2 linked regions of the Arabidopsis thaliana genome follow. The protein of the gene in region 1 interacts with the protein of each later gene in a pairwise test. Each region holds a gene or a part of one and is shown in the gene's direction. Other genes may lie near its edges.

Region 1 (6,833 bases):
TAATTAGGCTCTCTAATCATATCATTGACCTCTATCTTGTAAATTATACGTTTAGGGTGGTTCATTTTTGTATTGCATTTATTTTCTCAGTTATATTTATCAAATCTTCTATATATGATGGTTCAGTCGATTCGAGATTCGACGACCAACATACCTGGCTGTCCATTAGGATTATTAAAATTCAATTCTTGCCACCCTAAATTATTGGAACCTTACAAAACATATACTAGTATATAACTATATATTGTCACGATACACATGATCGCGCGGTTTAAACAAGATTTAACTTTAAAACTAAACGATATTTTTTGGTATTTTGTGGGAAAAAATAAAACAAGATTTGGAGACAAGATTTTGTCCTAACGATAACGATGAAAAAATGAAATCAAGTAAACTGGAACACATACATTTTTCCAACTACGTACTAAAAATAATGAGCATTTTAATACTATATAGTTGCCTTTTAACACTAATTAATTTATTTCCGATTTATGTATATCTGGTGATTCTTGTCAAATGTAAAAGAACGTAGATATCTATTTCTTTCATTATAAAGGCTCGACTCTCCTATATACATATAGACTCATGACTATTGTCTGTTAGCTAGATGTACATTATATAATATACACATGAATAAACATAGATGTAGTTTACAACCAAGCAAACGAGACTAATTTCATATTTTATACTACCTTTTTTATAACATTAGCGACAAACATTCAGTTAAGAATTTATATAATTTTGAAATAATTGCTTCCAAACAAACACAAGTTGGGAAATAACCACTAATAAAAAGTTAAAGAAACATCATACACAAAACTTGAAGTTGGGCATGTGCATGTGAAGGAAATTTTTTATACTTTATAGACCCTTTTTTGTCATCATTTACACTTATAGATATTATAGAGTGAGTGTTTGCTCAAAAGAAAAAGTTATTAAAGAGTATGATCATTTGCAACATGTTACTGACATTTCCTTCTTCCATATTTTGTATAGTTTTTTTATTTATTTTCTCGATCGACAATGGGCCGAAAGTTACCACAGATATGAGAGCTTGAGAACAGAATAAGATCTTCAATATTTAAACTAAGAAAATGTGAACAAGGGCTCCACACTTATGTTCTTTGTTCTAAAACACGTAGGCAAAAGGTTCCCTCTAACTCTCTAAGCATTTTAGATCAAATTGTCATCTATGAAAAACAAAGCTCAAAAGACGCTTTATTTGGCTTGAATCAACAACATATTTAGGTACTTCTTGTCACAAGTTTTTTAGAATCACATGTGCTAACTACATACAAGGACACAATTACACTATACTAATACTACAACTGTTTGTTCTTTGGGTTAGAAGCAACTTAGTACGTTGACCCTCAAAAGACTCGTTTCACGAAACACGAGTTACATTAATATTTTTCTAATCGAAGGAAAAGGAACGAAACGTAATAATGCCGCTTAACCCACAAACTCAGTCTTTTGCTTAGGTAGACCCAAATGCATCCTTTTAGTTCTAAGGTTCCGCAAATCTTGTCACAATCTGGTTCACCGTTCACGCATACGGAAACTCATACGGCTAAAAAAATGTTTGCATAGATGAATTGAACATGATCCAATATAATGTTATTAAACGCATACGGCTAAAATTTTGACATGTCAAGGGAAGTGACACGTAGACAAGTCGTTACGCCATGAGGTCAGCGTCCTTCGTCTACGTGGACACACTGCACATCCACGTGTATCCATCAAAAAGCGAGTTTCGTAAACCTATGCTTACACTCGCGCGCGTGATATTGAGATGTTGATCCCTCTCAATTAAGCATTCAATGCCACTGAGCCTAATTTCCCCGCACGAAACATTTACTCTGTTTTTTTGTTTCCCTCCTTCTACGTTTCTCTGTACACGGCTTTCTTAAATTGCTCACACGAAGCAGATAATTCGTCTCTCTATCTCTCTCTCCTTGCATCATTTTCTTCGTCTCATTGGTATTGATTGATTCACGTGACTTTGTACATTGCGGTTAAGTTCTTCCGTCTTGGTCATTCCACATGTTGTGTAGTGTTCAACGCCGAATTTTCCTTCACCCGAGGTTAGAGGCTTGCGGATTTTTCTGTACATTGGAATTAGCTTCGATGTTTCGAGATTAGTGTTAGAAATAATAGTTTGCGTGTTAAAGTTCTTATCTTTCCTGATTTGGTCGGTTACCTCAGTTTTGTCTTGTTGTGAGATGAATCCATCTCTTGCTATATTAAGGACAAATCTTCAAATCGGTGATATTTTGCTTCTTTTTTTTCTCGGCCACAGATTAAAATCGTCAAATTATCTGATTTTTGATGCCCTGAAGCTTTAGCTTGCATCTGTAGTCATTTGTCAAAGATAATTGAACAGAGGCTTTCTATATTCGTCGTCAAGGGTTTAGGAGATTCTGGGTTTTGGCGTGATTTTGAGGGGAAAGATTGAAACTTTCCCCGTGAATGGTAAGACAGTGAGAGATGTCTGGGTACGTGGGTGTTGTCGTTTCTGATCCATGGCTACAGAGCCAGTTCACTCAAGTCGAACTTCGGACTCTCAATTCCAAGGTTTCTTCTTTTTCACTGTTAGTCCTTTATATATACATCTCTTGTATGTAATCTTGTTTGATTTGTGGTGTAGTATGTGTCGGTGAAGAATCAGAATGGAAAGGTCACTATTGAAGATCTCCCTCCTCTATTTGCAAAGCTGAAGGCACTTAGTGCAACATTTAAGGAAGACGAAATCAAGGGTATGCTAGGGGAATTGGGTTCTGATACAAGCACTGATGTGAGTTTTGAAGAGTTTCTCAAGGTATATGGAGGTTCTACGTTTCATTGGGGAATCGAGGATTGGACTGAGTATGAATGTGATATGTATATAATGTAGTTTTGGATTGATCCTTATGTGCAGATATATCTCAACTTACTAAGTAAAGCAGCTGAGAAATCTGGTGGTCATCATAAGAACTCATCCTCGTTTCTGAAAGCTTGTACAACGACACTTCTTCACACTATATATCAGTCGGAGAAGGGTCCTTTTGTTCAGCACATCAATAGATATCTAGGGGATGACCCCTTTTTGAAGCAGTTCCTTCCTCTTGACCCTCATTCTAATCAATTGTATGAACTTGTGAAAGATGGTGTCCTTCTATGGTAAGGTGCACTAGAGTCCATCTCTACACAGAATGCATCTGATTTCTGCCTTTCACGTGTTTCTCTCCCTTTATTTCCGGCGTAGTAAGCTTATAAATGTAGCTGTTCCCGGGACAATTGATGAACGAGCGATCAACACTAAGAGGGTACTTAATCCGTGGGAGAGAAATGAGAATCACACGCTTTGTCTCAACTCTGCTAAAGCTGTTGGATGCTCTGTTGTTAATATTGGCACACAAGACCTGGCCGAAGGACGGGTATGTTTTCTCTGCTTAGTATTCAGTGTACGTTTGAAAATATTTCAACACACATCAATAAGTGTAATTATGTGCACCGTTCTGACCAGTGAGCTTTTATGATGTTTTGCAGCCTCACCTGGTGCTCGGATTGATTTCACAACTCATAAAGGTCCGCACACATCCACTTGTCCGCTCTGTATATCTTAGTTTTATTTTTTTTGTGTTAACCAAATAATGTTGGAAACTGCAGATTCAAGTACTTGCTGATCTCAATTTAAAGAAGACGCCTCAGCTTGTTGAGTTGCTTGAGGACAGCGATGTAAGTGAGCTATACCAATCACATTTTCAGCCATTTAATTGCTCTTGTACAATAATATAACAAGTTTCTCTCTGTTGCAGGATGTCGAGGAGTTGCTGAGATTACCCCCTGAGAAAGTCTTACTGAAATGGATGAACTTCCATCTTAAGAAAGGGGGTTACAAGAAAACCGTCTCAAACTTTTCCGCAGATTTGAAGGTATTTGGCTTCTCAAACTACAACTTGGAGGAAACCTTTCTCCTTTGCTTATCCAGATCTTTAGTTAGGCGGTTCTCAATTCAAGATTGTATTGTACTTACGTTCTACTGTTCCTTACAACATGTAGAAGCTATATCAATTCTTGGATAAGAGAAACAATATGAACTATAGAAGTCATAAAAGAAACAGAAATTTTATTCTTACTCAAGGTTTTGGTAATGTTATGGATGGAGTTTGTCCTCATCAAGTTTTTTCTATGATAAAGCGTGTTGCTGGTAAATCTGCAGGATGCACAAGCGTATGCCTTTCTGCTCAATGTTCTCGCACCTGAACACTGTGACCCGGCTACACTAGATGCAAAGGATCCTCTTGAAAGAGCTGAATTGGTTCTCAGTCATGCAGAGAGAATGAACTGCAAGCGATACTTGACTGCAGAGGAGATCGTTGAAGGATCTTCAACTTTGAATCTTGCCTTTGTGGCACAAATCTTCCATGAAAGGTTTGTATCGTGATGCACTTTCATCTCCCAAAAAGCTCCTAGATGATGGCTTGTCCTGTTTGATTAGGCTGGTGATGGTTTACTCAAAGAACAGACTCTTGAATGTTATGGAAAAAAGAACGGGGAAATGGTTTTCAACTTTTCGTACTATTATCAATGACTCATAGCTTCTTACCTGAAATCCCTTTACCTGAATATTTTTCCACTTAAGTTTTTTTATTGTTTTGTTTTCTACGCTCTCAATTTTACTCTGCCTGTCTGTACCTCTTGCAGGAATGGTCTAAACAAGGATGGTAAGTATGCATTTGCGGAGATGATGACCGAAGACGTAGAGACTTGTAGAGATGAACGATGCTACCGGCTATGGATCAACAGCCTCGGGATTGACAGTTATGTCAATAATGTATTTGAAGATGTTAGAAATGGGTAATCTTTATTTTGAGCTTATAGTAAATCAAGCAATTAGTAGAAAATTTTCCTGCAGTTGATGACGTTGCATTTGGAAAATACTGAAAACGCTCTTTGGTCCTGATGCCTTTTGTTTGTTCCATTTACTATTTTATGCAGATGGATTCTTCTTGAGGTTCTTGACAAGGTCTCTCCCAGTTCAGTCAACTGGAAGCATGCTTCCAAACCACCGATTAAGATGCCGTTTAGAAAAGTAGAGAACTGCAATCAAGTCATAAAGATCGGGAAACAGCTAAAATTCTCACTTGTAAATGTAGCTGGAAATGACATAGTTCAAGGGAATAAGAAGCTCATTCTTGGTAATCATTACCCGAGAGCTCATGTTTCTCTTAGCTTGATACAAAAACATGATCGCCTTGCCTTACAAACTGGAGATTTATATGGTTGTGTATCTCAGGTCTCTTATGGCAGTTGATGAGATTCCATATGCTCCAACTTCTCAAGAGTCTCAGATCTCGGACACTAGGTAAAGAGATGACTGATGCAGATATCCTCAGCTGGGCCAACAGGAAAGTAAGAACAATGGGACGAAAATTGCAAATCGAGAGTTTCAAGGTTCCTTTCTTTACAACTACTTCAAACACTTACCACAATAGTATTATATAAAGTATGTCCACCTATCACCTTCTAGTGAATCAAATTAAAATTCTCCAGGACAAGAGTCTATCGAGTGGGTTATTCTTCCTCAACCTTCTATGGGCGGTTGAACCAAGAGTTGTGAACTGGAATCTTGTCACCAAGGGTGAAACAGGTTTTCACTACTCTTTTTACTAAGGTATAGTTACTTACTCCGTTTACCTGAATCAAAGCTTATTTGATTATTATATGGTTATTGAAACGTACAGATGATGAGAAGAGGTTGAATGCTACATACATAGTTAGTGTCGCAAGAAAGCTCGGTTGTTCGGTTTTCTTGTTACCTGAAGATATCGTGGAGGTAAGAACTGAGAGACTATAATGTATCATCATCCGAAATAGCAATTGCTCAGATGAGATGTGTTTTGGTATGTTGTGACAGGTGAATCAGAAGATGATCCTAATTTTAACGGCAAGTATAATGTACTGGAGTCTTCAGAGACATTCACGGGAGAGTTCAGATTCGTCGTCAACTCAGAGCACCACAACGACGTGCACCAGCACAGCCTCGTCCCCTGCCCCATCTGTCACAGAAGAGGAGGAAGTCTCCTCATTGAGCGGTGAAGTCACGAGCTTGGCCGTTGGTGATGCGGTTTCTGAAATCACCACGGTCTCAGAGGAAGCATCCATCGAATAGAGAGAGCGAGATCACATATATACTGATATACATCTCTTGCTATAGCAAAGTAGCTGTTATAATAGTGACTTCTCTGTAATCTTTTGTTTTTTTGTTTCATCAACTAAAATTACCAAAAATAATAACAATGTTACAAACACTCAATCACATCGAGAAAAGTAAAGTAAAATTGTGAAAATTTGTTTAGTACTTAAAAAGTTAGGAGGAGGAAAAAGTGTACATCTTATTTTGAAAACAGACACTACGCAAACAACCATGGATCAGACGACGATGATCCACAACAGTCAAGGCAAACAAGAGATAGATAGCTCAACAGACGATGAAGATAGAGAAGATGGAACGAGACATGCAGACAAAAGAGGACTTGAAAACCGTGGCGTTGGGCACCTCTAAGATCAACTACATGGATCCTAGGATCACGGTCGCATGGTGCAAACGTCATGAAGCACCCATTGAAAAGGTAGTTAATTATATACAAAACTTGAATATTGATCTACCATGAAACAAAGAGAGTCCTCTAATAAAGTTTTTTTTTTGTAATGGCTGGTTCGTTAATGTAGATATTCAACAAGTCACTTCTGGAGAAATTTGCGTGGGCAATGGACGTAGAACCTCACTTCACATTCTAATATGCATTGCACTGCAGCAGCTGATGAGAGTTTCTCTATAAAACAGAGCA
Region 2 (4,664 bases), on another chromosome or scaffold:
GCTCATATTCAAATTCGTATAATACATGTTGATAGAAAGGAAAAAAAATATAGATGATTACTTAATGTCACATGTATTTCGACCAAATGTTCTTTTATTTATAAACTTAAACGTTAAAAGAGTTTTCAAAACACATTCTACCTACAATTTTTCTTCTTTCACGTTGTTCTTAACTACAGAAGATTTGATCTCTACATTAAAAAATATATATATAACGAAACTCTGGAAACATCATTGTTCGATTGGTTTCTATTGCAAGTTGCATGTAGGGTTTAAACCGATTTTAATTTATATGGCACAAATCCATTATTCCAAAAAAGAAATAGAACTTTATGGGTGGATTGTGGTGTACCACTACTAGTAAAGTTGAGAGGAAAAAAGCTAGATCTCTGGGATCAAGCAAACTATTAATTACATACCAAATCAAGAAAACTAACCTTAATTGACTTTTCTCCAACAAAAGATATGAACGTGGCCTGCCATTTATATGAAAACTTTATAATATAAAAAACATGAACGTGGTCTGGCCTGCTTTGCATAAACCAACCCATATAATAAATAGTGAGAAAATTAAATGTAATGATAATAGTAGCAATGTATAAATCAAGAAGTAGTTTCGTAATGATGGACACAACGTTTTCGTAGGTGCCAGCTTCATCACCTTCCCACATTCTCTCTCTTTCTCACCTGGTACGATCGTAACCGGCACGTGCGATTCACGTGGCTCGCAAAAAAGTTGACTTTTTAGCTTTGATTTAATCTCAACAAACATTAAAAAGTTTATGATGATGAATGATTAGTTTGCTTTTTCTTTTGTATAACATGAGAGGTTACATGTTATTGCTCATATCTTTCACTTACATAGCGCATCGCACGATGATGATTTGATCTGATATACGGTCTGATGGTCATATGTTCAGTTTTTAAGCTAACTAGATGAGTTCAAATACATAAAATCATAATATATGCGTATAGTTAAATATATTTCACCATAGAATAGCTAGCTAACTAATACATGGATCGATGCCAAAAGTCCCAAAACTATATAAGTGACGAGGACACCAACAAACTATTCGTCACGTCGACAAAATTTAGAACGAACTTAATTATGATCTCAAATACATTGATACATATCTCATCTAGATCTAGGTTATCATTATGTAAGAAAGTTTTGACGAATATGGCACGACAAAATGGCTAGACTCGATGTAATTGGTATCTCAACTCAACATTATACTTATACCAAACATTAGTTAGACAAAATTTAAACAACTATTTTTTATGTATGCAAGAGTCAGCATATGTATAATTGATTCAGAATCGTTTTGACGAGTTCGGATGTAGTAGTAGCCATTATTTAATGTACATACTAATCGTGAATAGTGAATATGATGAAACATTGTATCTTATTGTATAAATATCCATAAACACATCATGAAAGACACTTTCTTTCACGGTCTGAATTAATTATGATACAATTCTAATAGAAAACGAATTAAATTACGTTGAATTGTATGAAATCTAATTGAACAAGCCAACCACGACGACGACTAACGTTGCCTGGATTGACTCGGTTTAAGTTAACCACTAAAAAAACGGAGCTGTCATGTAACACGCGGATCGAGCAGGTCACAGTCATGAAGCCATCAAAGCAAAAGAACTAATCCAAGGGCTGAGATGATTAATTAGTTTAAAAATTAGTTAACACGAGGGAAAAGGCTGTCTGACAGCCAGGTCACGTTATCTTTACCTGTGGTCGAAATGATTCGTGTCTGTCGATTTTAATTATTTTTTTGAAAGGCCGAAAATAAAGTTGTAAGAGATAAACCCGCCTATATAAATTCATATATTTTCCTCTCCGCTTTGAATTGTCTCGTTGTCCTCCTCACTTTCATCAGCCGTTTTGAATCTCCGGCGACTTGACAGAGAAGAACAAGGAAGAAGACTAAGAGAGAAAGTAAGAGATAATCCAGGAGATTCATTCTCCGTTTTGAATCTTCCTCAATCTCATCTTCTTCCGCTCTTTCTTTCCAAGGTAATAGGAACTTTCTGGATCTACTTTATTTGCTGGATCTCGATCTTGTTTTCTCAATTTCCTTGAGATCTGGAATTCGTTTAATTTGGATCTGTGAACCTCCACTAAATCTTTTGGTTTTACTAGAATCGATCTAAGTTGACCGATCAGTTAGCTCGATTATAGCTACCAGAATTTGGCTTGACCTTGATGGAGAGATCCATGTTCATGTTACCTGGGAAATGATTTGTATATGTGAATTGAAATCTGAACTGTTGAAGTTAGATTGAATCTGAACACTGTCAATGTTAGATTGAATCTGAACACTGTTTAAGGTTAGATGAAGTTTGTGTATAGATTCTTCGAAACTTTAGGATTTGTAGTGTCGTACGTTGAACAGAAAGCTATTTCTGATTCAATCAGGGTTTATTTGACTGTATTGAACTCTTTTTGTGTGTTTGCAGCTCATAAAAAATGGCTGAGGCTGATGATATTCAACCAATCGTGTGTGACAATGGTACCGGTATGGTGAAGGCTGGATTTGCAGGAGATGATGCTCCCAGGGCTGTTTTTCCCAGTGTTGTTGGTAGGCCAAGACATCATGGTGTCATGGTTGGGATGAACCAGAAGGATGCATATGTTGGTGATGAAGCACAATCCAAGAGAGGTATTCTTACCTTGAAGTATCCTATTGAGCATGGTGTTGTTAGCAACTGGGATGATATGGAAAAGATCTGGCATCACACTTTCTACAATGAGCTTCGTATTGCTCCTGAAGAGCACCCTGTTCTTCTTACCGAGGCTCCTCTTAACCCAAAGGCCAACAGAGAGAAGATGACTCAAATCATGTTTGAGACCTTTAACTCTCCCGCTATGTATGTCGCCATCCAAGCTGTTCTCTCCTTGTACGCCAGTGGTCGTACAACCGGTTAGTACATTTTAGGCTTTTTGTTTATACTCATTGATCATTATTTGAACTGAGCTCTGATTATCTTCCATTGAACAGGTATTGTGCTGGATTCTGGTGATGGTGTGTCTCACACTGTGCCAATCTACGAGGGTTTCTCTCTTCCTCATGCCATCCTCCGTCTTGACCTTGCTGGACGTGACCTTACTGATTACCTCATGAAGATCCTTACAGAGAGAGGTTACATGTTCACCACAACAGCAGAGCGGGAAATTGTAAGAGACATCAAGGAGAAGCTCTCCTTTGTTGCTGTTGACTACGAGCAGGAGATGGAAACCTCAAAGACCAGCTCTTCCATCGAGAAGAACTATGAATTACCCGATGGGCAAGTCATCACGATTGGTGCTGAGAGATTCAGATGCCCAGAAGTCTTGTTCCAGCCCTCGTTTGTGGGAATGGAAGCTGCTGGAATCCACGAGACAACCTATAACTCAATCATGAAGTGTGATGTGGATATCAGGAAGGATCTGTACGGTAACATTGTGCTCAGTGGTGGAACCACTATGTTCTCAGGTATCGCTGACCGTATGAGCAAAGAAATCACAGCACTTGCACCAAGCAGCATGAAGATTAAGGTCGTTGCACCACCTGAAAGGAAGTACAGTGTCTGGATCGGTGGTTCCATTCTTGCTTCCCTCAGCACATTCCAGCAGGTAAAAATTGATCAGATTTTGTTTCGAATTCTCTTACATGCAAATTGAAATCAAAGGCTGATTATTTATGTATATGTTGGTTACAGATGTGGATCTCCAAGGCCGAGTATGATGAGGCAGGTCCAGGAATCGTTCACAGAAAATGTTTCTAAGCTCTCAAGATCAAAGGCTTAAAAAGCTGGGGTTTTATGAATGGGATCAAAGTTTCTTTTTTTCTTTTATATTTGCTTCTCCATTTGTTTGTTTCATTTCCCTTTTTGTTTTCGTTTCTATGATGCACTTGTGTGTGACAAACTCTCTGGGTTTTTACTTACGTCTGCGTTTCAAAAAAAAAAACCGCTTTCGTTTTGCGTTTTAGTCCCATTGTTTTGTAGCTCTGAGTGATCGAATTGATGCCTCTTTATTCCTTTTGTTCCCTATAATTTCTTTCAAAACTCAGAAGAAAAACCTTGAAACTCTTTGCAATGTTAATATAAGTATTGTATAAGATTTTTATTGATTTGGTTATTAGTCTTACTTTTGCTACCTCCATCTTCACTTGGAACTGATATTCTGAATAGTTAAAGCGTTACATGTCTTCCATTCACAAATGAACTTAAACTAGCACAAAGTCAGATATTTTAAGATCGCACCATTTTATATAACCCCAATCGTCAATTCTACTGTTTCAAGTTTTACACCAAAACAATTACGAGGTGTATCTATTCGTTACTCTTTTCGCTTATTAATCCTTTTACATGATGCAAAATATAACAAATTAATTTCAAATTGTCCTGCACATTTGGTTTATACATCTTGATTCCAAAAAGTCAACTCGTTGAAGAATTAATCAATACTCGAAACGAGTCTTCCTTGGGCCCTAAAATATTGTCCTATCTAGTTGATGCTTATATAGCATATATGGGCTAATAAATTGGGCCTTAGCTTTGGAAAAGGACGTAGAACTTGAAACAATTTTTATTTTTCTTTTTCCGGCGAAACAATTATCTAATTACCAATTTAACCCCAATCCTTTCTCAGTTTCTCTCTT

Evidence for each region.
Region 2: the proteins of FIM1 (region 1) and ACT2 interact in a protein complementation assay, tested with the Arabidopsis thaliana proteins (one study listed by BioGRID).

The regions. Positions count from the first base shown.
Region 1 is NC_003075.7:13,461,273-13,468,105, forward strand, and holds FIM1 (fimbrin 1), read left to right. Parts: upstream 1-1,824; 5' UTR 1,825-2,084; exon of another isoform or gene 2,085-2,299; 5' UTR 2,300-2,487; coding exon 2,488-2,574; intron 2,575-2,647; coding exon 2,648-2,818; intron 2,819-2,917; coding exon 2,918-3,159; exon of another isoform or gene 3,160-3,191; coding exon of another isoform or gene 3,192-3,244; coding exon 3,245-3,416; intron 3,417-3,528; coding exon 3,529-3,567; intron 3,568-3,648; coding exon 3,649-3,717; intron 3,718-3,797; coding exon 3,798-3,914; intron 3,915-4,201; coding exon 4,202-4,413; intron 4,414-4,686; coding exon 4,687-4,839; intron 4,840-4,980; coding exon 4,981-5,180; intron 5,181-5,278; coding exon 5,279-5,436; intron 5,437-5,535; coding exon 5,536-5,632; coding exon of another isoform or gene 5,633-5,655; exon of another isoform or gene 5,656-5,726; coding exon 5,727-5,818; intron 5,819-5,899; coding exon 5,900-6,154; 3' UTR 6,155-6,329; downstream 6,330-6,833. Other genes in the region: AT4G26701 (DNA binding / DNA topoisomerase type I), read left to right, coding at 6,474-6,614, 6,715-6,783.
Region 2 is NC_003074.8:6,473,047-6,477,710, forward strand, and holds ACT2 (actin 2), read left to right. Parts: upstream 1-1,663; 5' UTR 1,664-2,035; exon of another isoform or gene 2,036-2,478; 5' UTR 2,479-2,488; coding exon 2,489-2,942; intron 2,943-3,020; coding exon 3,021-3,634; coding exon of another isoform or gene 3,635-3,682; exon of another isoform or gene 3,683-3,720; coding exon 3,721-3,786; 3' UTR 3,787-4,158; downstream 4,159-4,664. UniProt on the Arabidopsis thaliana protein: Actins are highly conserved proteins that are involved in various types of cell motility and are ubiquitously expressed in all eukaryotic cells.